7 linked regions of the Cricetulus griseus genome follow. The protein of the gene in region 6 interacts with the protein of the main gene of each other region in a pairwise test. Links are inferred from orthologs where the notes say so. Each region holds a gene or a part of one and is shown on either strand. Other genes may lie near its edges.

What was found.
Region 1: the proteins of CUNH1orf94 (region 6) and Gcc1 interact in binary tests that used the Homo sapiens proteins (3 or more experiments, as listed by UniProt). The two-hybrid records come from large-scale screens. The link is inferred for Cricetulus griseus from reciprocal best matches to the Homo sapiens genes C1orf94 and GCC1.
Region 2: the proteins of CUNH1orf94 (region 6) and Rad51d interact in binary tests that used the Homo sapiens proteins (3 or more experiments, as listed by UniProt). The two-hybrid records come from large-scale screens. The link is inferred for Cricetulus griseus from reciprocal best matches to the Homo sapiens genes C1orf94 and RAD51D.
Region 3: the proteins of CUNH1orf94 (region 6) and Gse1 interact in binary tests that used the Homo sapiens proteins (3 or more experiments, as listed by UniProt). The link is inferred for Cricetulus griseus from reciprocal best matches to the Homo sapiens genes C1orf94 and GSE1.
Region 4: the proteins of CUNH1orf94 (region 6) and Plekhb2 interact in binary tests that used the Homo sapiens proteins (3 or more experiments, as listed by UniProt). The two-hybrid records come from large-scale screens. The link is inferred for Cricetulus griseus from reciprocal best matches to the Homo sapiens genes C1orf94 and PLEKHB2.
Region 5: the proteins of CUNH1orf94 (region 6) and Rbfox1 interact in binary tests that used the Homo sapiens proteins (3 or more experiments, as listed by UniProt). The link is inferred for Cricetulus griseus from reciprocal best matches to the Homo sapiens genes C1orf94 and RBFOX1.
Region 7: the proteins of CUNH1orf94 (region 6) and Cdkn2d interact in binary tests that used the Homo sapiens proteins (3 or more experiments, as listed by UniProt). The two-hybrid records come from large-scale screens. The link is inferred for Cricetulus griseus from reciprocal best matches to the Homo sapiens genes C1orf94 and CDKN2D.

What each region holds. Positions count from the first base shown.
Region 1 is NW_023276806.1:199,371,218-199,375,319, reverse strand, and holds the start of Gcc1 (GRIP and coiled-coil domain-containing protein 1), read right to left. Parts: upstream 2,801-4,102; 5' UTR 2,386-2,800; coding exon 1,354-2,385; intron 156-1,353; coding exon 1-155. UniProt on the Homo sapiens protein: Probably involved in maintaining Golgi structure.
Region 2 is NC_048600.1:96,305,149-96,308,648, reverse strand, and holds part of Rad51d (DNA repair protein RAD51 homolog 4), read left to right. Parts: intron 1-2,024; coding exon 2,025-2,106; intron 2,107-2,357; coding exon 2,358-2,492; intron 2,493-2,995; coding exon 2,996-3,091; intron 3,092-3,500. UniProt on the Homo sapiens protein: Involved in the homologous recombination repair (HRR) pathway of double-stranded DNA breaks arising during DNA replication or induced by DNA-damaging agents. Bind to single-stranded DNA (ssDNA) and has DNA-dependent ATPase activity.
Region 3 is NC_048596.1:197,195,858-197,199,357, reverse strand, and holds part of Gse1 (genetic suppressor element 1), read right to left. Parts: intron 2,407-3,500; coding exon 2,293-2,406; intron 1,607-2,292; coding exon 1,235-1,606; intron 248-1,234; coding exon 1-247.
Region 4 is NW_023276807.1:13,223,288-13,227,244, forward strand, and holds the start of Plekhb2 (pleckstrin homology domain-containing family B member 2), read right to left. Parts: upstream 2,801-3,957; 5' UTR 2,657-2,800; intron 1-2,656. UniProt on the Homo sapiens protein: Involved in retrograde transport of recycling endosomes.
Region 5 is NC_048600.1:39,617,981-39,622,066, reverse strand, and holds the start of Rbfox1 (RNA binding protein fox-1 homolog 1), read left to right. Parts: upstream 1-1,286; coding exon 1,287-1,385; intron 1,386-4,086. UniProt on the Homo sapiens protein: RNA-binding protein that regulates alternative splicing events by binding to 5'-UGCAUGU-3' elements. Regulates alternative splicing of tissue-specific exons and of differentially spliced exons during erythropoiesis.
Region 6 is NC_048595.1:25,030,073-25,034,298, reverse strand, and holds the start of CUNH1orf94 (uncharacterized protein C1orf94 homolog), read right to left. Parts: upstream 2,801-4,226; coding exon 2,487-2,800; intron 1-2,486.
Region 7 is NC_048597.1:134,146,785-134,150,812, reverse strand, and holds the start of Cdkn2d (cyclin-dependent kinase 4 inhibitor D), read left to right. Parts: upstream 1-1,228; 5' UTR 1,229-1,333; intron 1,334-1,394; exon of another isoform or gene 1,395-1,605; 5' UTR 1,606-1,620; coding exon 1,621-1,761; intron 1,762-3,229; coding exon 3,230-3,589; 3' UTR 3,590-4,028. UniProt on the Homo sapiens protein: Interacts strongly with CDK4 and CDK6 and inhibits them.

The sequences.
Region 1 (4,102 bases), on a different chromosome or scaffold from region 6:
TCCTTCAGCTTCTGGATGGTCAGCTGGTCTTTCTGTTTGGCTTTCTCATAGGTGCCCAGCAGTTCAGACACCTCAGAGATTTGATTCTCCAGGGCTGCAACCCTTTGTTCTTCTACCTGACACTGCTGGCGAAGCTGGTCCTCCGCAAGGGCTGTCTGCAAAGCAAAGGACAGGTGGTGATGCTTCCAGAAAGGGCACAAAACCCTACTACAGTCACCTGGGTGTGGAGGAGCAAGACATGGAAGTCATGGGTCATGGGATTAGGGTGTCCTGGAAGTGGTGGGAACTGGGATTTTTAATTGAAGTTCCCTTGTGGACGTGCAGTTTCTAGGACAGCTTTCCATTTTTTATTGAGCTTGAATACAAAGTACATTCCTACTAACCATGTGCTTCTCGGATTATTTAAACAAGTTGTGTAACTTCTTTTTCCTTTTCCTCTCTACACTGAAAGGAAACACTATGAAACAGGAGTTTTCCAAAACAGGTAAACCTCAGACGAAGGCATACTTTTTTTTTTTTTTCTGGGAAAATCTCCTTTGCCTCCTTCAGTCCCTCTACCTATAAGCACATACTTCTCAAAACATACGTAACCTTTCACTGCACAGCTGTCACGATATTGCCTCAAACAGCACAGCTGGTAAGGCGCCAGCACCCAGAGGCCTAGATAAGGCTACCTGGCTTGGACCCAGAAATACTCAGAAACTCCTCATCCTGTTGCAAGGACAGTACACAAAACAAGACTTCCTAGGACGCACTGCTGGAATTTTTCAGTTGGCATCAAACATCAGAGTGTGAGTGCCTGCTGGGAATGTGGAACCGGACTGCAATCCCAGCACTCAAGAGGCCAACAAGCACCAGGCCATCCTGACTAAAGCAACTAGTCAAGTCCCCAGCACTTTGTAGCGAAAAGCAGGCAGATCTCTGTGAGTTCAAGACCAGACTGGATTACATGGGGGGACCCTGCCTCATGAAACACACAGAGAGAGAGAGAGGGAGAGAGAGAGAGAGAGAGAGAGAGAGAGAGAGAGAGAGAGAGAGAGAGAGAGAGAGAGAATCTATTCTAATGGCCAAAAGAGAACAATAATAAAACCCTAGTATTTCCTAGTTAAGTTTTTGGGTTTTTTTGTTGTTGTTGTTGTTGTTTGGGTTTTTTTTGTTTGTTTGTTTTGGTTTTTTGAGACAGGGTTTCTCTGTGTAGCTTTGGAGCCTATCCTGGCACTCGCTCTGGAGACCAGGCTGGCCTTGAACTCACAGAGATCCACCTGCCTCTGCCTCCCGAGTGCTGGGATTAAAGGCTTGCGCCTGCCCCTAGTTAAGTTAAAATAATGGTTTGACGGATATGAGAATAATTACCTTCCTCATTTCTTGCTGCAGCTGGGCCTGGAAATGGCTTTTAAGACGGGCAGCCTCTTGCTGAAGCTCTTGCAGCCGCGGGTCTGGTCGGTTCTTCTCATCTTGAATGGCTTGCAGCTCACCTTTCAGCTCCTCTACCTCACGGGTCAGCTGCTTGGTCTGCAGTTCAAAGCCTTCTATCTGATCAGCTGCATATGCCCGCCCTGCCAGGGCTTCTCTGGTCTCTTCTAACCGAAGTTCCAGGTCCTGACGCTGGGTCCTTTCCTCCTGCAACAGCTTCTGCAGCTCTCGCAGCATCACAGCGTGGTCACTCTGCTCCTGGGCGCGATCGTGCTGCTGTGTGATAAGTCGGGCTTTGGTTTCTGCTATCTGCTCCTGCAGCCCCTTCAATTCTCCCACCAGACGGTCCCTCTCTTCCTCTGCCTTTTTATTGGCATCCTCTAGGTCCTGTTTCATCTTCTTTTTGTCTGCCAGGTAAGATGCCTCCATACGGGACTTCTCCTGGGTGACTGTAGCCAAGGAGCTAGTCAAAGTAGCCAACTGAGTCTTCAGCTGATGTAGTCTCTTGTCCATCTCACTCCCCGCAGATGGCCCATCCCCACTGCTACTACTAACGCCACTCTCTGACCCACTGGCCTCTTCGGACTTTAGAGGAAGTGGTCCACGGGCCATTCTGTCATCTTCGACCCCAAACTCACCCTTGATACTCGTAAGACTGGCTGCAGTATCCAAGCTAGTGGCAGTTCCGGTGCTATCCTCACTGTGAGTGGAGCAACGATCATCCACAGAGTCAGGGAGCGTGAGACCTGGAGGCTGCACACTTGCAAGGCCTACATCCGCCTCATGGGATACCGACAGCACTTTGATGCTGGCCTCCAGGGCCTCTTTCTCCTTCAGTAGACTTTTATAGGCCCGGACCACATCCTTGAGTCTAGCCTGGTACTGGAGGAGCTGCTTTTTCTGTGTCTCTATAGTCTCCAGCAGGTCCTTTTTGCTTGGGCCGCCCCCGAAATTCATTCCAAACTTCTCCATGGGGGTTCTGGAGCGGTTTGCTCCACCTCAGTGTTCTGGCAGCCGTGGACAGAGCCTCAAAAACATCTACAAGTGAAGTAGAGAGGACCGTCTGGCCGCAGGCCGCACACCCAGCTGTCCGGGCGGGTTGAGGGGCCGCGGTAGCCAGGCAAAAGCGCTGCCGAGCCGGACCCAAGGTGGAAGCCGGTTCCAACCTGGAGGCGGGGCAACGCTGGCCCAGCAGAAGCGCTCAGCCTCGGCTCTCCAACACTGGCCCAGAGGCCGCTCCACCCCAGCCGCTCCGCTGACCACCAAACCCAGGCCCGCCCACCTCCGCCCAGGATCGGCCCAGGGTTTACACTAAGCTCCGATCCATCTCGATTTCCTAACTCCGGCCGGCTGGCAGCACCGCTTCCGGATCCACTGGAAATGACGGCAGCAAAACGCCACAGACCCCGCCTCCAAGATGCGCGAGGTGGGCGGGGCTTCCGCAGCCAGGGTGCGCTGACAGCCTGGAGAGGGAGTAACCAGAGGGGATGGTTGGGAAAAGCCAAGTCCGGGACACCTGAGCAGTGATTTGGAGAAGATGCCTAACTTTGCCCCCAAACTACCACCAGCGAGCGACAGGGGGCGACGTCGCACTGCGTTTGCCCCAAAAATCCCGGGTTGGAAAGAAGCGTACAACTATTTGGGGCAATGTCCAATATATCCCTAAAAAGCAACAGGACTCATACTAGAAAAACAAGCCCAGCACCTGGCTAACATAAAGCAAAAATAGCCCGCTTCCTTAGTTCTGCTTTTAGATGGACACTAATATAGCTATAAGGTTTATCTTGAATATTGGTATATGGTAGGGGTCTCACAAGAGTTTTTGCTGTTTATTCTGTTCAGAGGATATCATAAACACCAATTTACAGTTGTGGAAGCATACACTGCACAGAGGTGACTTATCCAAAGCCATTCAGCTACTGCTAAGTTTAAGAATCCTACCTCGGTCCACTTCTCAAGGTATTAAGTGCCACGCCAGGCAGCACCCTGAAGAAACATGGTCTTGCTGCCAAGAAACTTGTCACAGCAAGGAACCAGACATGCAAACAAGTAGACCCTGCCCTCACACTGGAATGTGTGGGCATCGTCAAAGTGGTATAAAAGAGATGAAGATGCCTGTCTAGAAGGATGGGGATTCTCGGGGAGAACATTTTTGGGATTTGAAGAATGAGTAAAGACTGCCAAGCAAATTCAAACGTGGGAAACCAGTATCAAAGAAAGTGGAAAAGTTTACAAGAATCATTCCTAAACAGTAGCGTGGGGTGAGAGAGGCGCAGCTACTGATGAGGCTGGAACAGGTAGGACCCAACTTAAAGGCATTTCATCTCGGGCGTCGACACATTAAAAGATTTAATCTCAAGAGGACACCGTCGAGACTCTTGTGGGGCCTGTAAGATGGCTCAGCAGTAAAGGCACTTTCCACCAAGCCCCAACGACCTGACCAGAGTTCTATCAAGAGAACCCACATGGCCGAAGAAGAAAACACATCCCACAGGAGGTTGTCTTCTGACTTCTACACCACGCCCCCCCCACACACACACACACACACACGAGAAATAAAAGTGGGGAGGGGCTAAAAAGCAAGGCTCCTGTGACATTGTGAAGGCACCAAGGGGGCGGGAAGCCTGTGAGGAGACTCAGGCATAAAAAGAGACTAGTGAAATAGTAGTGACAACAGGGATGAAGAGAG
Region 2 (3,500 bases), on a different chromosome or scaffold from region 6:
TTTTTTGAGACAGGGTTTCAGGGTTTCTCTGTGGCTTTGGAGGCTGTCCTGGAACTAGCTCTTGTAGACCAGGCTAGTCTCAAACTCACAGACATCCACCTGCCTCTGCCTCCTGAGTGCTGGGACTAAAGGCGTGCGCCACCACCGCCCAGTGACAAGAGATTTCTTTCAGACAGGGTGTAGGTATGAAAAGTTGGCTCACAACCACCCAGGGCATCTGATACCTCTTGTCTCCAGAGGCCCCTCACAGATTTTTTTAAATTTATTTTTATTCTATGTGCATTGGTGTTTTGTCTGCATGCATGTCTGTGTGAGGGTGTCAGATCTTGGAGTTACAGACAGTTGTGAGCTGCCATGTAGGCGCTACTCTGGAAGAGTAGTCATTGCTCTTAACTGCTGAGCCATCTCTCCAGTCCCCAGTTTTTTTTAGTATGTTCTTTGGCTCAAACTAAGGACCTCATGCTTGGAAGGCAAGCACTTTTATTGACCAAGCCCTCATGCCAGCCTAACCTGGATGGAGTTTTTAAACTCTGTTCAGAAGCAGGATCTAAGTCTAGAGTCTCTCACTGTGTTGCTGATGCTGTTGGAGAACACACCAAGAAGAGCTGCTATGATGGACCTGGGCTTCTGGTGTCTCAGGGAGAATGGGATTCAGAAGCAGAGGCTGGAGACCTATTAAGTAGAGGCTTATTAAACACACCCAGGATGTACACAGAAGCCACAGAGCTGGAGTAAGGACCAGATTTTGACAGGCAGGAGCCTGTGGTCCCTGGAGTTAAAATAGGTGGAGTGGTGACTGGTTGCTGCTTGTCATGTGCTGATATGTCATGGTTGGTCATCAAGAACCTCTTCAGAGGCCTGCAGTGCAGTCTTTGACTATATTTGCCGAGTTAGGAAGGGAGGTGTATGACAGTCAGGCATTGATCCAGGCTGCCTGCCACACAGAAACTTTAGCCCACCCCCACCCCCACCCCCGTCCTGGGCAGCACATGGAGAGTAGTGGTAACTTGTTTTCATGTTGGTTGGGGACAGGAGTGAGGTTAGGAAGTGACCATGTTTTGAAGTTCATCTCAAGGATTCCACAGCCTGAGTTTTGACATTCAAGCCACTGTTCTTGTCATTTCTTCAGTAACATTTACTGTGTGCCTTCAGGGTTTTCGGCTCTGTGCTAATACTGGAGACAAAACAAGGATAAAGACCCAGTCTTTGCCCCCCCCCCCCCCGGGATGCTCCTACCAGATGAGGGAGGCAGACAAAAACAAGCAAATAAAAAATAATTACAAACTCCCAGAACTAATAATCGAGTTTAGCAAGGTCTGGGGATACAAGATCAACACGTAAAAATCAATTGCATTTCGGTAAACTCACAATGAACATTTGAAAACTGAAATTAAAAACGCAATGCCATTTGCTGCCACATCTAAGGAAATGAAATACATAGGTCTAAGTCTGACAAAGACCATGTAGAATTTGTATGCTGAAAATAAAAAATGCTGATGAAGAAGATCAAAGGTGAATCAAATAAATGGAGAGACTTTCTGTGCTCATGAATTACAAGATTCTACAATAGTGAATGCCAACGCTCCCCAACCTCCAACCTCCTTCCTGACCTGCCACCCATACTAGAGATTGAACTCAGGGTTTGCATATAATAAGCAACTACTCTACCATTAAGCTTTTATATATATATATATATATACTATATATATAATATATATATATATATATTTTTTTTTTTTTTTTTTTTTTTTTTTGGGTCAGGTCTCATGTTGCTATTGCCCCAGTCCAAATTTATCTGCAGATTTTTGTTTTTGTTTTTCGAGACAGGGTTTCTCTGTGTAGCTTTGGAGCCTATCCTGGCACTCCCTCTGTAGACCAGGCTGGCCTCGAACTCACAGAGATGCTCCTGCCTCTGCTTCCCAAGTGCTGGGATTAAAGGTGTGCTCCACCAATGCCCGGCCTTATCTGCAGACTTAATACAGCTTCTTCTCTCCTTTCTTTTTCCATCCCCTTCCAACCATCAGCCTGGACAAACTACTTGATGCTGGCCTCTATACAGGGGAGGTGACTGAAATTGTAGGAGGTCCAGGTAGCGGAAAAACCCAGGTACCCTTGGAGCCAACAGAGGGGAGGGTTGGGGGAGGTGGGTGCATTGACCTGGATTCCTCAGGGAGTTCTTGCATGTGTCTCTGTGTTGTTGGAAGGTCAGAACAGACCACATAGGGGCTGAGAATGAGTGTGGCCTTAGCCAGTGTATGTTGTTGGAATCTGGGCAGGATTCAGTGGAGAAGCTGCCTGGTGAGATCCTCTTCTCCAAGGGCTTAGGTTTACTCAGTTCCCTATCTTGTCTCTGAAAGGTGTGCCTGTGTGTGGCTGCAAATGTGGCCCATAGCCTGCAGCAGAATGTACTGTATGTTGATTCCAGTGGAGGAATGACAGCATCCCGCCTCCTGCAGCTACTACAGGCTAGAACCCAAGATGAGGAGAAACAGGTAGGGGGCAAGATGGCTGGGTTCCTTTAAAATCCTCATGTTAGAAGACTTCATGACTACATTGTAAGAATATACACCATCTATGAGAATCATCATTTCTTACTTTGAAACTGGAGCGTCCTCTGCATTCCTAGAGCTGCTCATGTTAATGTCATCATCCCAGCTTGGATGCCACCCACACTGATTCTCCAGGAACTTCCAAGTCCTCGAGTACCATAAATCAGAGGCGGCAAAGGCCTGTATCTGTGTTTCCAGCCCATTTCTTGCCAGGGCAGGCATCACTAATCAATCATATCTGTCCTTCCTGCTGGATCCTGAATGTCTTACAGCTCAGCACCCAGGTAGTCACCACTGTGAGATCCAGCCCATTAGGCAAAACCCATTTGCCATTCCGATGCCAGCACTGTGTCTAAGTGCCTCTTTGCTTTTGCAGCTTTGTGATTACATTTATTGCTTTCCGGGATCTCCTTTCCAAGTCCCTGCTTCTCTGTCCCACCCCTCAGGCAGGTGCTCTCCAGAGGATACAGGTGGTGCATGTATTTGACATCTTCCAGATGCTGGATATGCTACAGGACCTTCGGGGCTCCATGGCCCAGCAGGTGAGCCTGCTCATCTGCCTGTTTCTGCTTTACCCATCTGGCCAGGTGTTGTCTGTATTGGGCCAGGTGTCCTACAGACTCTACTTGGATTGCATGTGTCCAGTGTTACAGCTCCAGCTGTGTTTGCCACCCCCCATCCCTCCACCCCTGCCTGCCTGAGCCTCAGGTGGAATTCCTTGGTGCTTAATTCATAATTCATGTGCTTCATTGTTTACAGGCTCACCAGCCCTGTACAACAGTGAGCTCCTTGAGTACAGAATTATATTGTCTTCATCTCTGCATTACTCACTGAAATCAATTAGGAAAACTCTCTCTCTCTCTCTCTCTCTCTCTCTCTCTCTCTCTCTCTCTCTCTCTGTCTCCGTGTGTGTGTGTGTGTGTGTGTGTGTGTGTGTGTGTGTGTGTGTGT
Region 3 (3,500 bases), on a different chromosome or scaffold from region 6:
GCCTCAATCCCTTGCCACTGGCGCCTGGGGGCTTCCTCAGCTTCCTCTTCACTGTCATCTTCATTGTCCTCCTCAGAGTCCTGGTCCACCTCCTGCATAGGGGGACCCTTCCTCCCAGCTGGCGGCTCCTGTTGTCCATTGTGCTGGGGCAAGGGAACCCGGCTGGAGGACTGCAGCTCAGGAATGTTGTAGTGGACTGACGTGTCGACCTTGTGGTTCTGCTCTGCAGACAGCACAGCTGAGCTTCCTGGGGAGGAGAAAATGAGGATCTTGAAGGGCAGGGCTCAACTGAAAGTCATCCATGGAGACAAACATGCACCAGAGTTCCGATCCCATGGGCACATCTGTAACTTTGTAAGCACAGCCTCCTTCATGAGGGCAGGGCAGAGGTGTTCCCTGACCAAGACATGGACTGTCCCTCTAGAAGGAGATGGCTCAGTCTTGCTGGTGGCCTCACTTGAAAACTATTAAGCAACGTGTCCCTTAGATGCCACTTCAAAGAGCCTGTCCATTTTAAGGAGCAGGGAGCAATCTGCTGCCTCTGGCCAAAGCACCATCTTTCCAATAAACTCACAAAGACCCAGTTAGCACCTCTCTCCTGGGGCTTTTCCTCACAGGTGAGGCAACATGAGGCCAGAGGTCAACTCTGGTTTTCTTCCTCTATTGCTCTCCTGTTTTGTTTAGTCTGGCTGGCCAGCAAACTTCAGGAATGCTGCCTCCGCCTCTAACCAGCCACCTGAGCTCTTGCCTTTGCTTCCTGGGCTCCAGCAGCAGAGTCAGCTCAGTGACACACTCTGTCTGTGAGCTTGGTATGAAGCCGTTAACATGGACTGGAGGGCATGGTGACTGAATTATTCCTGCTGGGGGAGCAGGGCAGGAAAACTGCTATCCCTACAATCACTGGGCCCTGGGGGGATGGACACACAGTACCTTGGCAACGAACCAGAAAAGATCTCCAAGTGAGTTTATGTGGTTGTTGGAAAGGTCACTGCTGTGGACTGCACTCGCACAGAGGACACTTGCTCTGGCCTTACTGAACTGCCATTTGCTAACTAAGGTGCGTGGTTCTTGACCAGGTGCTTTAGGTCCTGCTACAAGTCTGAAAGAAGCTGAGGTTCACCTCACCCACTCCCATGCCCAGTGAGACCTTTAATGCTTTACAGGCATTAAAGTTTAAGAGGTACTATTAATACGTGAATGGCCTAACAGGTGACGGGGGCATGTGGCCTGTTACCTTTATGTTTCTGCAGAGCCTTCTGTGTGGACTGCAGTACTGACTCATGGAACTGATGTGCAAACTCTTCTGCCATGAAGGGTTCCCAAGGCTTGCTCTTCCCATTGATGCTGTGGGACAACGGCACAGGAATGTCCTTGGGCGCAGCGCCCCGGAGATAATGAAGCATGCTCAGGTTCTTCTTGCCCCCGGGGGCCTCACTCAGCCTGGCCTTCTCACCGCTGGTAGGCGCTGGCTCCTGGACCCTCAAGAGCTCCTGAGGCCGGAGCTGTTCCAGTCTCCCAGTCTCCACGGCCTTTGGGACATCTGACAAGGAGGCAGGGACTCCGGCAGGTTGATCTGTCTCTAGAGGAGCTGGCTGTGTGGCTGGTTCTTTGAAAGACAGAAAATGAGGGAAAGAAAGGTTATAAGTTGTGGAAAAACAGGCACAAGGACCCTGTTGACCGCTAGAGCTTACATCTGCAGAAAGGAAGACCCAGTGTGAACATCCTATGTTAACACTGCATGAGGCTAGAGTCTGAAGAGTAGCATGTTTAGCAGCAAGTCCAACTGTGAACAGTTCCCAGAAGACAGGTGGGGAGAAAGAGCAGCAGGAAGCGCTGAGAAGGCAGGAGTAAGTAACTTCATCCAACTTAGGGAGATCAGGTGAAGAGGCAGCAAGAGATGGGACCCCAAGGCTTCAGCTTCCTTCAGCTGGAGAGCAGCAGAGAGGAGTAAGAGAGCAGGTGTCTGGAGAGCCAGGCAGGGTCTGTAGCACAACCTCCGCTGGGGACAACACTCCAGGGGCTTCGGGCCCATTCTCTGGGGGATGACAGCTACGGCCCGCAGCTGATGGGCAGCTCCATGAAGTCAGCGCCCTCCCCTGAACTTCAAGCCCACTTTCTAATTTGCATTGTGTCCTAAGGCACAACCAGGATGGTGGTGGACCACACAAGAGGGTTGGAGAGAAGCCCAGCTTCCAGTAGGTCAAGTTCACCACGAAGACAAGACTTTGAGTGCCACTCTAACCCTGTGGCGCAAGCTACAGGACACTTGAGGGTGGGGTGTCCTTCCCTTACCACTCAGGGAGATGGAAGGACTGTCCCTCGAGGAGTTTGTCACTGAGTCTGCCACTGCTGCGGACAGTGCCCTCTGCTTCATGGCACGGAGCATTTCAACAAGCCTCTCTCTGTCTGTGAGGAAAGTAGCCCGAGGTTAGCAGTACTTCTGGGAGGGAGGAAAGGCGGGGTCTGGCCACCGTGATCAGCAAGTACAAGCCCTTTACACCAAGAGGCACCAAAGGCAAGCACCATGGCTGGCTGTGCAGACAGGAAGAAGCAGGTGACAGCAGCAGACTCTTTCCCTGCATGGCTCACACTCCAGGCAGCCACATCTATAGCCATGAGCAGCAGCTGCCTGGGGGCTTCCACGCTGACTTCCTTCTTAGCAGATAATCTGGTTTGAAGACCAGGGGTGGCCCCAACACAAGGGCACCACCCCCAGAGACCAGGAAGGGAGCCATTTCCCGCGAAGGAGAGCAGACCCTACAGTGCTCCATGCCGAAGATTCCCGTTTAGGTGACTCTTCCTGCCAACTCTGAAACTTAAGAGGCTTTAGTACTGATGGCGTCCTTTAGACACGAAGCCAGGTGAAAAGTCGGGCTTGCAAACAACTAGGCATGTGTCCAAGGGCTTGTGCTGGCAGTCAGCCCGTCACCAACCCTTGCTGGGAAAGTGAGACCTCCACCATGCTTGTTAAAAAAACGGAAAAAGGAACTGCCAACTCCAATAAAGAGGAAGCATGTCAAACCAACTGAAGACCTAGAGAGGCACTGTTTTCCTGGAACTCTTTGTGGAAGAGGCCAGTGCCCTTAAGGGGCCCAAGACATACAGGAGCATGGCTGTGTACATCAATGCTCTAGCCCACGACGGTGGCAAGCTGATCAAGGAGGCCTCAGCATGTTGTGGCCACACCGTGTCTTCTATGCTATGGATTCCAGTTCCAAGTCTCTTTTTTCCAACATGGCCCTAGGATAGCAGACTGATCTGGAAGCATCTTTCTGGGCAAGTTGTTGAGTGCTTACTGTGAGTTGGCTGGGCTTGGTATTCACAGGCCACCCATATGGCTTGCTCTCCAGGCCTCCTAGCATTAAAAGCAGTGCTCCGTAGAGCTCACTGGTGTCCCCAAGGGGAAGGGCCTGTGGTATGCAAACCTTTAACACCCTACAACAGGAAGCAACACCTCCTCTCAGTCCTAGTGAAAGCCCTGGAAGTACTCTGTTCAAAGA
Region 4 (3,957 bases), on a different chromosome or scaffold from region 6:
TTCTGGCCTCCTGGCTCCTGAGCCCTGCAGGCCTCAGGGAAACTTCACTGGTTTTTCTTTACCCATCTCATCTGTCTAACTTCTTTTGGTTGCAAATGGTATGGTTATGCCAGGAAGTTCCTTACAGGAACTAAACTAAACTAAACGCGTGGCAGCAGGATGCCGCCGTCCTTATGATACAGTACTCACAGATACCACTTATTACTAACAATAGGGAATGGCGAGGAACAGGAAGGGCAGATAGAGCACTTTTATCCTCTATATTTTAGGGACAAGTTGGTAAGATGTATTGTAGAAAGGAATCTGCACACACCCCTGTTCATGGTCTGCTATTCTGAGTTAACCTCTGGCCCAGGAGGCACCGGGAGGAACACAGGACTTGATATTTTAAGAATGTCCAAACCCAGTTAACAGAGACTGTAACGGAGAAGAGCAGACAGACAATCAGGAGGAATGCATAGACATCATGAACTTCAGGGTCTAGGCTGATCTCCTGACCAGCAGGCCAAGACTGAGTAGGAATAGCAGACTGTGCAATGTCAGACTGCCTCCGTTTCCCCCTTGCTGTACCACCTGTCAACTGCAGCTGACTTATTAGAGCCTGTTCAACGGTATGAACACGGCCTCCCTCTCAGATCACTGGCTCTCTGCAAACCTACAACCTAAAGGTACAGTTTCCAGAGATAGATAAGAGATAGATAGCAGACAGACATAGTGAGAGGAGCCACCAGTTTCATAAATTCAGTCTTTATTATCAGGGAATTTACTTACAAAGATATGCTAACATCCTTACTTACTGAACATCTACTGTGTGTCTGACAGAAAAACACCTTTGATTCCTGCCCTGAGGAAGAACAGTGGGAAATCTCTCATACACAAAATAAACATCACAGACACTAGAGAAACCAGGACAAGCACCTGCCTGGCTAGAGGGTCTCTTTTGGGGCCATCTGTCCTAACCAAATCCTGCTGACCACACAGAGGCAAAGCTTCCTGGGCCCAGGAAACACTCCAAGCACCCTAAGGAAGGAGCCAGCAGCAACAGTACTCCCAGCTACATGCCCTTCTCCACTCTAGAAGGCAAAACCACAGCACAGGCTGGCAGACACACAGCCATGTTTGGTCAATGACTCCTTCAGCAAACACACATCACCCTAAGTCAGCAGGCAGTAAATCCCAGCTGCCACCTCACTGTTTCCTGTAAAGTGGGACAAGTCACTTCCTGCACTGGTTGCCTCAAAGACCACAAGAGACCAGTCTTTCTATCCTAGTAAACCACACACACACACACACACACACACACACACACACACACACACACACACACACACACACACACACACCACAGAGAGGGGGGAGGAGGGAGGAAGGGAGGGGGAGGGAGGGAGGGAGAGGGAGGTAGGCTTCTTTGGAGGGATTAATCAGTGTGTTCTGAATTAGACATGCAGTCTCTAGAATCTGTAACCTTTCCACCTACTCTAAAACACTGGGAATTACTCCACTCCTTCATGAGGTCTCTTTGTAAACCACTATGCATCTGAAAGTTAAGATACAACAAACAATTTCTGCTTATCCCAAATAAAATCCCTGACCTCCCAAGGTCTCAGTCTAGCTGCGTAACAATTAAATGTAATAAAAAGGAGTTACGCTTGAACTAAAGACAGGGTAAGACTGCCGACCATGGAAGTGCAGTAGAACAGGAGGGCCCACCAGAGCCAGGCAATGGCAGGCGACAAGTAACCCGAGGGTCTCAGTGAGGCAGTAGCGGTCCCTTGCGGGGCCTGAGACGTCCCATCCTCAGCAGTGCGCCCCCACCACCTCCTCACCCGCCATGGGTGGAGAAGGGGGGGTCAGGACTAAGCGGCTCTACGGAAGATACCATCAGGATAGGGGACACGGGGAAGGATGCTCTGGGTTGGGGAGGATATAACCAGGATGTGGGCCTTTGGGGAGCCCGGAAAGGGCTCTAGGAGAAGGGGAGGGGCACCAGAATGGGCCAGAAGTAGGGAAGGGAGGGAAAAGATTATGGTGGGGAACACTGGGGAAACCCGCGGGGACCCAGGGAAAGGGGGGGCGCTAGGCTAGACAGAGCATTAAGAAAGACTACGCAGGGAAGACAGATCAGGATGGAGACAATGAACAGGGTAGGGGGAAGAGACAGAGACCTCGAAGGGGAATACAACCAGCGTGGGGGACACTGGGGACAGGGAAGGAGACAGGAGGTGGAGGGAATACAAGTAGTGCAGAGGCTGAGGCAATACAATCAGGATAAGGGACTCCGGAGAGGCAGGAGCTGGTGGGGGCGGGATACAATCAGGAAGGGCGACATCAGAGAAGAGGGAGGGGCGTGGGTCAGAATGGAGACATTCGAGAAAGGGAAGAGAGCGAGAAGGGGTGGTGGCGGGGGGACTTTGGGGAAGGGAGAAGCAACAGTGGCTGAGAGGGGTCACCGAAGAGAGGACGTGAGGCTGAGGAAGTGGGCGCGGCCAGCAAGGTTGGAGTGCCCAAGAGCCGGGCTTGGAGAGGGAGTGTTGGCGAAGGTGGTTACCCCCCACCCCGGAGGGACGTGGAGCAGGGCCGGATGGGGTACTCCGGCAGGGGAGGTCCCGGGAAGGGGTCGCACGCGGGCGCAGTGGGGCACCGCGGGCACAGTCACCTGCGAATGTTCGGTCCGCTAGGCAAGAATCAGGCTGGGAGTGCAAGGTCGCCGGCTTCTTCTGCTCTTTGCTGAACGCGCAAGTCCAGGTCCTGCGTCACCGCCCGGCGCGCATGCGCGGGAGGCAGGTGCCTGCCTGGGTGCAGGGCCGGCCGGCGCCGAGTCTGAGCAGTTCCTCCTAACTGGGGCTTAGTTATCTATCACCTCAAAGGCGGTTCTAAGTTTTCTGAACTTGGCCTCCAAACTCAGCTTCCCGGAGAAGTTGTATGACTGCCTAACTGGGGTAAACCAAGGGCGAGCAGAGCCTGCTTTGAGCCAGAATTGAGAACAGCGTGCTCGGAAACTAGAAAATGAAGATGTCAAAACTGAAACAGCAACCGAGGAACAAAGCTGGAATCCTTCGCAATAAGTCACAAAGAATTGTTATAACTTAGAATATAAAGTAAAACGATTACAGAAATAAGTGAGGCCAGGCGGTGGTGGTGCACGCCTTTAATCCCAGCACTCGGGAGGCAGAGGCAGAGGATCTCTGTGATTTCGAGACCAGCGTGGTCTACAAGAGCTAGTTCCAGCACAACCTCTAAAGCCACAGAGACCCTGTATGAAAAACCAAAGGGGAAAAAAAAGAAAAAGAAAAAAGAAAGAAAGAAAGAAAGAAAGAAAGAAAGAAAGAAAGAAAGAAAGAAAGAAAGGAGTTTGGAAGGATCCGTGTGTGTTAGCACAGAACCCAGAACTGTGGAGGCTGAGTCAAGAGGATCACGAGTTTCAGGCCAGTCTGGGCTACACAGCCACTGTCATAAAAAACAAACAAACAACAAATAAAAAAAAAAACTAGCTCATAAAGAGGGCATGGTGGTACACAACTGTAATTGCAACACTTGGGAAATGAAGTAGGAAGACTTCAAGAAGCCCAAGGTCATTCTTGCCTACATAGTGAGCTCAAGGACAGCCTGGGAATCCAGGGGAGCCCATTTCCATAATATATATATATATATATATATATATATATATATATATGTATATATATATATATATATATATATATTATATATACTACCATACTTTTTTGTATATTGGACAAGGCACCGAATACTCCCCAGAATGGGAACAGGCCTGAGCAAGCATAAGACTCAGGACCACCTGTTACTCTTTTGTTTAAAAAGAAGAAAAGAGAAATGCTGAGACAGACATACTTACTATAAGTTTATTATAAGGCCCGGCAGAATGGGGAGACTAAGAAGAGGAACAGGGGTAAATGGCTGACCACCATGGCTGGTCACCATAGAGAGAGCACATAGGTG
Region 5 (4,086 bases), on a different chromosome or scaffold from region 6:
GTAATCTCTTATAAGACAGGGACTTTTGTCTACCCCGTGTATTTATAATTTGAGAAGAGCAACGGGTTCTAGGCTGGGAGAAGGCCCCTTGCATTCACCTCGAGCTGGCATTTTAGTGTAACAGCTGCGTGGATTCTCCAGTTAAGCCGCACCGCTCGGGGCTGCTTGCCCCGGGTAGGCTGATTCCAGGGAGAAAGCAGTGCCCCTAGAGCAGCGGGGGGCGGGGGGGGGGGGGCAGAGACCTCCTCGAGCCCCCACCCCTGCACAGACAGCACCCCAACCCCTGGCGTGTCCATCACCCCCAAGCTTCTTACAAAAGGGGAAATCCCTTTCTTGTGTTTATTTGCCAACGAGTCAGGCAAACAAACCGCCAGCTGAAAATCTCCCGGGCTCCTTAGTGTCCCAGCTGAGCAGTCTTGTTAATGGTCCAGCTCCTTTGATTGCTGGAGATGTGGGGCGCTCATACGTTCGCTCGCCCTCTCCCTCCCATCGGAGGATTTTAGCAGGCAAAATTTAAATTTTGGCGAGTCCTTTTTTAAAAAAAGAAAGAAACCCACAACCCTGCCCCTGGACCTCTTTGACAAATGAGAAGACTCCCAGCATCAGCACCAAGCGAGTGAGCTACAGTGAAGCTGTGAGTCAAAACCTCTCTCTCTCTCTCTCTCTCTCTCTCTCTCTCTCTCTCTCTCTCTCTCTCTCTCTCTCTCTCTCTCTCTCTCTCTCTCCCCAACCCCTCCCCCCTCTTCTCCTCTCCCTTCCTTCCTTCTCCTCCCCCTTCCCTACTACATATCCCTGTCTTCCCTCTCTAGCATCTCTATCAGGGCATCCTAACCCCTGTCTTTCATAGAAGTCGACTTTGCCCATTTTTGTCACCTTTAGGGGGTGGCGGAGGTGGGTGGGATGAGGGGCACCTTCCACTTTAAGAGCGCTCCAACAACAGGCCCAATAAGCCAAGGGGAGCCAACACTACTTCCCAGCCTCTCCAAGTGTCTTTAGTTGAAGGCTGATGAACGCTGGGTACTAGCAAACCCGAGGGCGAGGAGAGCCAGGGAGGAGGGACTCTCTTGGGGTGCGGTGGGGGGAGGGAGAAAGAGAGAGACGAAAGAGGAAGAGAGAGGAAGAGGGACAGCCACTGCTGCGTGAGTTAGATAATCAGCAAAAATTAAAAAGAAAAAAAAAAAAACTGTAGCGACTAGGCAAGAGGGTTAAAAAAAAAAAAAAGCAACGCGATTGTAGATTGTATGTGAGCATCTCCGCTCTCGCTCTGCGGGCACCCGAGAATCGCGATGCAGCATCCTCTGACGGGGGCCACCTGCGTGGCACTCCCCAACGTGGGCATGTGTCCCCAGCTCTCGTGTGCCTTGACTTTTATGTACTTACAGCAGGTAAGACGCGCGGCTCTTTCTCAGCGGCAGCTTCTTCTCAGCTTGACCAGACTGGGTACCGGTTCAGTGGGCTGCGCGTTGGGGGGTGGAGGGTGGGGGGTCTCGATCATTGGGACGAGGTTTGGTGGGAGCTTCTGGTTTTCCGTTAAGCCACGATGCTATTTTAATTCACCTGTCTGAATACTTTGTGAACACCGATTTCCAGCCTCAGGGACCGGGAATTTGAAAATAAAAAACTGGCTTTTTCTTGTGAGCATCTTTTCTCATGTCAGAAGTCCCAGAGGTGGGGTGAGGGGAGATTTCTAGGATGTTGAGAGAGTTTGGGGCTCTGTGAAGACATCCTGATGTTTGTAGTTTTAATTCAGCTGTTTTAATGATTGACACAAAGTGTGCATGTAGTGTGTGTGTGTGTGTGTGTGTGTGTGTGTGTGTGTGAGAGAGAGAGAGAGAGAGAGAGAGAGAGATCTTTGTTAAGTTTGTGTTATCTATCCATCCACAAGAATCAGTACATTGGGATATCTGGAGCTTGACAGCCCCCCTACCCAATCTTCTTTGAAACTCCCCAGCATTGGGTGAGCATGGGTAGATGCTGTCTTGACTGGCCGGAACACAGGGTGGTTTGTTTGCTTCTTTGGTTGTTTCTATAACCCAGGCCTGTCCACTCCCTGACAGTGGTCTTGCCAGATGTCTGTTGGCTTCATTCCCACCCAGTCCACATCTGTGAATTTTTGGATTCAGTTCTTGCTCTGAGTGTCTGCTCTGGGCCTCAATGGGTCTCCTCCTCCCTCTTACTAGAAAGGCTTCTGCCGAGTACAATACTCCGGGGCTTTGGAAACCACCTAACACTGTCCTGTGGGGAAGCAGGCCAGCTGTATCACGGGGCGGGGTCTGTGGCAGTGAGTTGGCAATATTAGAGGGGTTTTGTCTGCTGGTGGGAATCCATGACCCGACTCACTTTGGCCTGTCCTATGAAGTTTTCACCGGGGGTAATCCTTTTGCCTGCCTTTCAATGAATTCACTTTAAGAATAAGATTGGTTACATGTGTGTGTTAACAAAACTTCTTTTCCAAGAGTTGAAAGGAGCCCCTTTCCTCCAAGATGTCCCACTCTAATTTGTGCTACAGAAATATATGTCTTCATAAAATGTCAGGGGTTCTGTTTTGAACATTCGGGTAATTTGTTATCAGCTCGGTTGCCAATTTTTTTCCTCCTCATATTTACTGCTGCTAGTCTTTTTTTGAGAATAGCTCCTTAAAAACATCTTGTGAATAAATTGGTTTATACATGTATTTGTTTTATTTTGTTTCCCATTTAGTCAATCATACCAGGAACCATCTCTTAGGAAGGTATTGATAATATATGTGATTCATCAGCATGTACCATTTCCTTGCCTCAGTTGTGAGTGTGTGTCAAGTGCCGGTGCATTTTACATCAGTTATTTGTCACAGAAACATTCCAGTAAACATTTCTTCAGTTGCTAAACCTCAGCTGGATTGAATCAAACAAATTACTAGAGCAACTGGTTTTTTATCCTATATTTGTGCCTTTCATTTTATTTATGAATCAACTGGATTATGTTATTTAAGACGTAGAATGTTATGAGTGCGCAGTGCTTACTCTGTTTCTGGGGCTTATGTGTTTTAACTAATCTGTATTTCTGCTTCATCATTAAACTGGTTTGCTCATTGAAGAATTTAGGAAGGAGGACAGTGGCTTTGAACAAGAATCTATTCTTCTGTGAAAAGGAAGGGTGCATCATGTGGCACCAATCTTTCCCACTGTGGAATGCACCTGCTTTGGAGAGGAGCCTCACAGGAAGTGCTGGCAGCCATAACAAATATTTAGAGGTGACTAAATCAACAGCACGATTCCCCAGGAAGGTAGATGGGGGACGGTCTTTGAAATGAGGTCTCAATGTGTTCTCCCCACGACTGAGTGAGGCATGGGGTCAGAAAGGTGAGAGTGACAGAAGTATGTCCCTTACTGAGGTTTACTAAAATTCTGAAGTATAAAAAACGGGCAGACATTTATTTTTGCTTGTCCTATTTACAATCAAGGTTTTTAGCTGCCACCACTACCCTTTCCTAAAATTCACTATCAGAGACCTGTGCCTTGGGGTCATCTCTTCTGACCTTTTAACGCCATGATTCAAAGTCAAGGTCAGAAAACTGGCTGATTTACAGAGGAGACAGTCCCTTTCATCTCCACAGGCCACATATCAGTACAGACTACACATCTTCTGCCCGTGTGGAACCACTATACTTTTTTCTGCTACTAATCTATGGCTAATATTACATATCCATGTATTTGATAAGCAGAGAGCTAGTTCATACTTTCAAAGCATATTCATCAAATAGATGACTGAATCATGCTTCATTTATGAATAACAATACCTTCATTAGAAGAATTAAATTTTGTGTGTAGGAAAAAGGTATGTGTCAGAAACCACTGTCCTCTTCATCGCCAGTTTACATACAAAAATAATTAAAATCCTCCTATCTTTTGTGAAACATTTCTCATCCTGTTTTTATCCATGCACACGGTCTCATGTGTTGGGGACTCCTGGGTCCTCACTGAAATATTTTATCTTAGAATGAAGTCTTATATAGGGACTATCTCTTACCCAGCACTCAAGGAAAATGACTCGGTTATATGTGTTCACTGGCCTTGATCTTAACAACCCGTTCCTTCCTAGATACTA
Region 6 (4,226 bases):
CCAACCTATCTTGCTTCCCTGTTGGCCAACAGTACTTTATTTATCAGCCAATAAGACAAACATATGCACAGAAGGACCTCCCCCATCAAAACTCTACACATTAGGCAGGGGAAAACCCAGCAGGTGTGTATCTGAACACATAAGAAACAGTGGTGTGCCCTCTAGTTTTAAAGTTTACCCTTCATCACTCAGAACATGGGGTTCCCACAGATATATATGCAGGCAAAACATGAGTGCACAGAAAATAAAAAATTAAAAAAAAATTAAAAATTTAGATCTATAGGCTCTCGCTACCTTTATTTTGGGGGTTTGCAAATTTGTATAGTGAAAAAAGAATGGGGAATTTGAAAAGGTACTACCTCTTGCCTGCAAAAATTTCAAGATTTACAGAAATTATAACTGCTGTTCTTAGAAGGAATTTATGAATCCTAATTACTAGCAGGACCATTGAACGATTCAGATTTGCCACCTCCAGCAACCCCTACTGTCACCTCCATTTGGCAGATGACCAAAGTTAAGATCCACCATACAGTCACAGTTCTGCATCCAGCGCGGGGCTGAACCTGGTTGTCTGACTCCAGAAGCACTGGCTTTCATTTCATGAAGTTCTCATTGTGTTCTACCAGGTGGATAGCTACAACTATGATGTGGTTTATTCCTCCAAGTAGGTGGTTTCCTGGGTCTCTTCTCAGTCACCAAACTCTTTCAAATGCAACCATACTCAGAACTCCAGTAGTAAAACCAACAAAAGCCTGAACAGCTCTGACTAAAGTATGTGTGGGACCCAGCAGACAACCCACTTGACTCTAGGGTGGCTGTGTGAAGCACCCTTGGGACTTGGAGACCACATGAAAACTCCAGAAGAAAGCCAACAGCAGTAACCCTCCCACCCCAAAACTCGGTGCATTACATATTAAGGCGGTCTTGTTTCTATAATGCATCTTTCATTTCTTTGTTTCCCATCACATTTGACCCTCATTATCGACTCTGAGTTGACAAGGCAGGGCACATCATCCTCAATTTGCAGATGAGGAAATCAGGGCCAAACAGAATGAATCAACTGGCCAAAGGTAGGCTAGTTCAATTTCTGGCCAAGTGTGGACTGGAAGTAGAGTCTGTCTCCATGAATTCAGTGTGACCTGGCAGAGAAGGGGCTATCTACTGGAAATTGCTACTGACCTATGATCCAGAAAGTGGACAATCAGCTCCTTGGCCATTGAGAGAGCTGAGTACAGCCCCCAAGGTTTCCCATGCCAAGGCACTGTCCCAGAGCAGATGGCAATGAACAAGACAGAGGAGCTCGGTGCCACTGAAAAGACTAGCCACAGGATTCTGGCTATAGAAAGGCCATTTCCATCTGAGCCGGGTCCTGCTGAGCATAGGGCAGAGGAGGCAGAAGCAGCCAGCATGCCTTCTACCTTCATCTGCATCAAGCAAAGGAGCTTGCAAAGGGATTGCAGGAAGTGCAGACCTGAGCATCTGCTATACTTTTCTTTCCCTCTCAGCTATTGCTTAGAGAGCCCTGAAACCTGAGGCAGCTGATAAATGCCTGAATGGTTCCCCCATCTCTGAACTGAGTTGGAGCATGTGTTGGGGGCAGACAACACTTAATTATCACTTAGGCTTTAATTGGCACTTAATTATTAACACTTAATCCATCTGTAAAATGGGGACACTAATACCTGTTTCATAGGGATGCTGGGAGGATTAATTAACGCTTGCAGCCCACTTTGAAGGTGCAGAGCCTTGAAAGAGTACTCAGCAGTGACATTAATCACCAAAACGAATGCACTCCTTCTCCTAATGAGATCCCTTCTTCCTCTCTGCTCCTTCCTCTCATTTCCAATATCCAGCCCCAACAATATCTCTTCAACTTTTTCCTAGTGCAGAAACACTTAGCTCTGTGTTTCCCAGACATGGGATTTCCCATCCGGGAAACCGGCTATTTACAGTCATCTTCCCGCACTTTAATTTTCTATTATGTCCTCTGAATATGTCAATGCCTTCCCAGTAAATATTTTGATGTGCGCTCTTGCAGTAGCTCTGTGGATGCTGAATGGGACAGCTGCTCTCTGTATTAGGGGATTCCAGATGTGGTTTCCAGCCATCAGACTCATCTGTGCCAATGCCTGAACTTTTCTTGGGAGAGGGGAAAGATCACCTAGTTGCCTCTGGGGACAGTGATATTACCCCTAGGCTTGGTGAGAATACTCTTGCCAGGACCCCAGATTTTCATCTTAGTTGTCTATGCCTTTAGAATGACAATGTCTCCTTAGTATCTGGAAAGAAGCCATCAGGAATGGTTTCTTCCCTTGCTCCTGGAATTTCAGCACCGTGGCCAGCTCCCTCCTCCAAACTACCCATACTAAGGGATGAAGAAAATGTTTATAGAGTTTAACACTGGCCAGAGAGAGTTCAACCCTAAGTCAGACTTCATTTCCCCTCCCTCCATTCCTTGATAATCAACCAAACAGGGCACTACTCACTCTTCTTGGAAGCTGACAGTCGCGGTCATCGGCGCCGAGAGTTTCTCCAGCGAGGTCCTGGGTTGCAGGGACTCCGGCAAGCCCTGAACTCTCTTCCAGATGTCATGGCAAATCTTATCTAGGCTATCCTGGGGTGTGTCCTGGTGGATCCACACGTATCTGGGGAATGGCCCCAGGGCGGAGGGACGCTTGGCCACCATGGCCGAGGATGGAGGGAGCCCATTTCCACTGGCCATCCTCTTTCTCTCTTTCCGGAAGCCCCTTTGTCCACCCAGGGCTGGGAGACAAAGGGACTGTCCACCACCAGCCCTCATTCACCAGAAAGGGAGCTAAAGACTGGGCCTGGGAAGTAGTCAGTTCTAGCTGGCTGATGCTCCAGCCAAGGGATGGGTTTCAGAGGCGTTTTGTTTGGGTGGGGATGAGGAGTAGGGGGCAACTTTCTTTTGGGGAAGGGGGGCTTATGTTGACTTGCTTTTATTTGCTCTTTCCTGACTTTTGCCCCCCTCCCCCTCTCCCGTAGAAGAAAATATTTAAAAGTCAACAAAAACCAGTAACTTAGTAACCGTGGAATGCCCCGGAACTCAGGAACCAAGCGCCTGGGCGGGCAGAATGACATCTGGGAACGACTGGAGGGGAGGACTGGCTCTCCCCACAGAACCCGGCACACCCCCGTTGCGACACCCCTGTGACACCTTTCAGGGCCTGTGACTCAGCCCATTCTCGCCTGTCAAGCCGCCAGGAGGGCTGAGTAAGGGCTGGGCACTGTACTAGACTGGGTGGGGGCAGGCCATGGGACTGTCTCCTCCCACCTTCCCAGAGATCCGGTGCACGCCAAGGGCTAACGGCCCTCGCCCACCGCAGTTCCTGGCTTTAGCTCTCCCGGCTGCCCCCTTCTGTCCCTCTCTCTCTGCTGCTGCTACTGCTGTTCTGCCTCCCTAGAAAGAAATCTCCTATGCGGTGTTGTGCTGGCAGTCAGCCTGGCCTAGGTCCCCAGCGGACACCTGTAGCGCCTCCGCGCAGAACTGAGACCCAGCACCGCAGAGGGTCCCAACCCTTAAAAGGGCGCCGATTGGGCAGGGTGGGCCGGGGCGGGGGTCAGCAGATTTGCGTGCCGAGTATCTCCCACTCCCCTGCCGTCGAGAGCTGGGATTCTTTCTGTGGGTTCAAGCGCAACGGCTCGGCGGCTGGGTGCGCGGGGACACGGGCCAGGCGTTCGTATCCAAGGTCCGCTGGTGGAGTGGGGGCGGGGTGCAGCCGGGAAGACCCCAGAGAGCTTCCCCTTTGAAGTAAGTCAAAATGAAACACTGTCTCCACCCCCACCACTACAGACATACTTAAGAGCCTCTGAGGGGTGGGCGACCTGCCCTTTTGTCCTCTGGCATTAATCCTAACTGCCATTCCAAGGGAGCACCGAATGCCAAGGGCTGAGCTCAAATCTTATCCTATTCCAGGTCAAGAGTTTAGTACTACTTCTTATTCGGCATACATGAGTCTCCAAGTCCTAAAAAGTTGTGTTTGTCCAGAGTTCAAGAAGGAAGGCTGAAATTCAAAAACTCAGGACTCTAGACCTGATCTAGTGCCCTGGGCTCCTAAGCGACCCCAGCGCTGGGACAGGGACTCGAGAGATAGAAAACAAACAAACAAGAACTCATCTCACTCTACTAGACTAGAGATCGGTAGTTCCCATCCCCCCCCAAACTTCTTACAAGCTGCACAGCACCTTGCCAGGCATTCCCTGGT
Region 7 (4,028 bases), on a different chromosome or scaffold from region 6:
TTTTTAAAAAATTAAAAGAAAATTGCAGAGCTGGAGAGATGGCTCAGCGGTTAAGAGAATTGGCTGCTCTTCCAAAAGATGTGGTTTTAATTCCCAGCACCCACGTAGCAGCTCACAACTGTCTGTAACTCCAGTTTGAGGAGATCCAACATCTTCACACAGCTATACATGAAGGCAAAACACCAATGCACATAAGAAAGAAAGAAAGAAAGAAAGAAAGAAAGAAAGAAAGAAAGAAAAGAATTGCCAGGTGTACTGGTACACACCGTCAATCCCCTGCATTTAGGAAAGTCAGGCAGATCTGTTTGTGTTCAAGGCCAGCCTGGTCTACATAGTGAGTTCTAAGACAGCCAGAGTTACATAGTAAGATCCTATCTCAAAACACTTAAAAAAAGAAAATCATGTGAATATGTGGGTGTTTGTCTATTATGTAATATGTGCAGATGTCAAGAGCGTTGGATCCCTTGGAGCTGGAGTTATGTATAACTGAGAGCTGTGACCTGGATGTTGGAAACTGAATTCTTGATTCTCTACAAGGACGTCAAATGCTCTTGGCCGCTGAGCCATCTTGCAGCTCCAAGACCCTTTCTTTAAAAACAAAAAATAAAAAAACTAGAGCCCCCTCCTTTAATCCCAGCATGGATGGTAGAGGCAGGTGGCTATCTGAGTTTGAAGCCAGACAGATCTACACAGTTCCAGGCCAGCCAAGGCTACACAGTGAGACCCTGTCTCAGAAATTTAAAGCAAACAAAAATCGTTAGACAGCGCGCACTTGACCGCCCAGCGTCCATCCCTTTAACCCAGCAGTCGAATGAATGAACTAAGTTCCCAGTTGCATAGTAAGAGAGCTAAATGAATAGAACGAACGTTCGAGTTCTGGGAGCTTCCAACCCTCCCTCCATTCCTCCTGGAGGCGCTAAAGACCCAAGATCAGCCTGCGCCAGCCAACCCCTCTCCCGGGATCAGTTAAGTCTTCCCTCTCTTTCCCGCCCGGCCGCCCGCCAGTCGGGTTTGAAAAACCAAACCCCCTGCGGTGGCGGGCAGCCACACCGGTTGCCGCCCGCTGGCCAATCACGAGATGCACCACCTCTCTGGGCGAGACAAACCTTCCCAGTAACGCACGATGATTGGCTGAGGTCGCCGGTAGGCGGGACGCATGGAGGTCGGGTGCTGGGCACACCGGCTCCCGCTACTCTGTAGCGAGTTTGTAAGAAAACAAGGGCGCTGTGGGGCGGGGCCTGTGGCGCGCTAGCTCCGCCCACTGGAGGCTGTCTAGGGAGGCGGCGAGCGCCGGCTCAGAGCAGACCCCGCCTGCGCCAGCGGAGGAGGGAGGGTGAGTCTGGGGAGACCCGGCCCAAGGGGCGGGTGCCCAAGGGTTGGGCGGGGTTCCCTGCGGCCTCTCACGGTGACAGGGGGAGGAGCCGGGTGCGAGAGCCGGGGTCGTGCGGGACCGAGGGCCAAGGGTCTGCGGCAGGGGAGTAGCCGTAGAGTAGGCCCCAGTGTCGCCACAGCCCCAGGGAAAGGAAGCCCTCGTGTTCCGATCCAGCCCTTGCTGGTTCCACAGCCTTGACCTGGACTGGGCTTGGGGCTGGGTGGGTTTCACAGACCACCCGCGTCACGATGCTCCTGGAAGAAGTCCGCGTCGGCGACCGGCTGAGTGGCGCAGCGGCCCGTGGCGACGTGCAAGAGGTGCGCCGCCTTCTGCACCGGGAGCTGGTGCATCCTGACGCTCTGAACCGCTTTGGCAAGACGGCCTTGCAGGTGAGGCCTGTCTGACACCCGGCGCCCACACCCCATCCTTCCTTGTCTCCTGACCCGGCTTGGTGATCCCCTTGAGGACCATTCCTTGTTTGCACCAATGTTGGGTGGGGTAATGCGGGGGGGGGGCACGGGGAGAGGATGACTTTTCAGCTCTAAAGAATCCCTTGTCTTCAAGCCTAAAAGATTCAGTTTTGCTGCAGACTTTTATTCCGTGGGTGGGTTGTGGTTCAGCTTCTTTTCATTCCAGTCTTTGCGGACAGCTCAAATTTTGGGAGGGCCTCTAAGAAGGCATTCGATCTCAGGAAGGTAGGATGCTCCTCCAAGGGATAGAGCTATTTTTTGTAGGAGTCCTTTTTAAGGGTCTCTGGTTATTTGGGGGTGGGGGAAGTCTTCATTTCTGAAAGTGATGTGGATTTTTTTTTTTAATCTTCTGAGTGCCCCAGTTACAAAAAAAAAAAAAAAAAAAAAAAAAACCTATTGCTTGACGGCCCCATAATTTGGGGTGGACTTTGTACAGGGTCCCACTTTTTCATGGGTGCACATATATTCTGAACATCATGCCTATGTCTAAACTTTTCCCTAGCAGGGTGTTGGTGGCACACTCCTTTAATCCCAACACTAGGGAGGCAGAGGCAGAGGTAGAGGCAGGAGGATCTCTGTGAGTTTGACACCAGCCTGGTCTACAAGAGCTAGTTCCAGGACAACCTCCAAAGCCACAGAGAAACCCTGTCTCGAAAAAAATAAATAAATAAAAAAACAAAAAAACACACAAAAAAATTTTTTCCCTAGAGAAAGGGGATCCAAATTCTCTAGAGCATTTTTTTTTCTCAAAAATTCTAAGTAGTTCTCAGAAAACAAGGTTGCATTGTCTGGAGGGGTTTAACAGCTCTAGTGATCTCCCATATGGGGGTGCCCTGTCCCTGAGGGAGGCTCTTGGATCCTTGAGAGTTTTCACCCTCCCTTCCTGTCCTTCCTTTCCCCATTCCCTTCATTCTCTTTCTTCTTCATTACTTTTTTATTTATGAGACAAGGTCTCACTCTGTATCAGGCTGGCCTTAAATTTGAGGCTATCTTTCTGGCTCGTCCTCCCAAGTGCAGGGATTACAGGAGTGGTCACTATGCCTGGCCCCTTAAAGTTTTCATGAGAGTCACTTTTGGAGTTAGAGTCTTTTGTATTGGTAAATGATCTCTCTTTCTCTCTCTCTCTCTCTCTCTCTCTCTCTCTCTCTCTCTCTCTCTCTCTCTCTGTGTGTGTGTGTGTGTGTGTGTGTGTGTGTGTATGGTCCTTATTTCCAAAGAACCTGTTTTCTGGGGTCCCAAGCAGCTCCCTGGGGGCCTGTCTCTCTTGGGGTGTCCCTGTTCATTAAAGGGCCCCTTCACTGGCACTCTGGATTTCTGGTAGACCTCTCTTTCTGCTTGACCACTTTCCAGTGGGAACCTCCTGACTTTCTGTTCCCCACCCCCATAGGTCATGATGTTTGGAAGTCCAGCAGTTGCTCTGGAACTCCTAAAGCAAGGTGCTAGCCCCAATGTCCAAGATGCCTCTGGTACCAGTCCAGTGCATGATGCAGCTCGCACTGGGTTCCTGGACACCTTGAAGGTCCTGGTGGAGCATGGCGCTGATGTCAATGCCCTGGACGGCACCGGGTCACTCCCCATCCATCTGGCAATAAAAGAGGGCCATAGCTCTGTGGTCAGCTTCCTGGCTCCCGAATCTGACCTCCATCACAGGGACACTTCGGGTCTCACCCCCCTGGAGTTGGCCCAGCAGAGAGGAGATCAGAACCTTATGGACATCCTGCAGAGACACATGGTGATCCCAATGTGACCCAGGGCCGCTGTCTCCAGCCAAGGAGCCTCACTGGGTTACAAGTCAACAGAGAAGAAAAGAAACTTTCGCTCTTTATTCCCATCCATTGAAGAAGGGAGTGGGAGGAGCATTTTGTGGTTTATTGGTGTTGGTTTCTTGAGTGAGTGTGTTTGGGGGACTTTCTCATGTGTTTTTCTCACCCCGTTTGGTGTGTTGGACAGAGCAGGGGCTCCTACAGGCAACAGCCGCCTAAACGGTTCAGTTTTCCCTGCACCTGGCCGCAGAGACCTCAGGGCAGAGGTTTAAAGCCCTAGCCTCAGAGTGAGGTCATCGTCTCCTGAGCTCCTGGAAGCTGGTGACCTTGGAAGGCTGTGCTCAGAGAGCCCTAAGTGTGAGCCACCTACTTTGGGCATGGGAGGGAGAGGGGAAAACGTTTCGAATCAGTTAAAAAGATAGT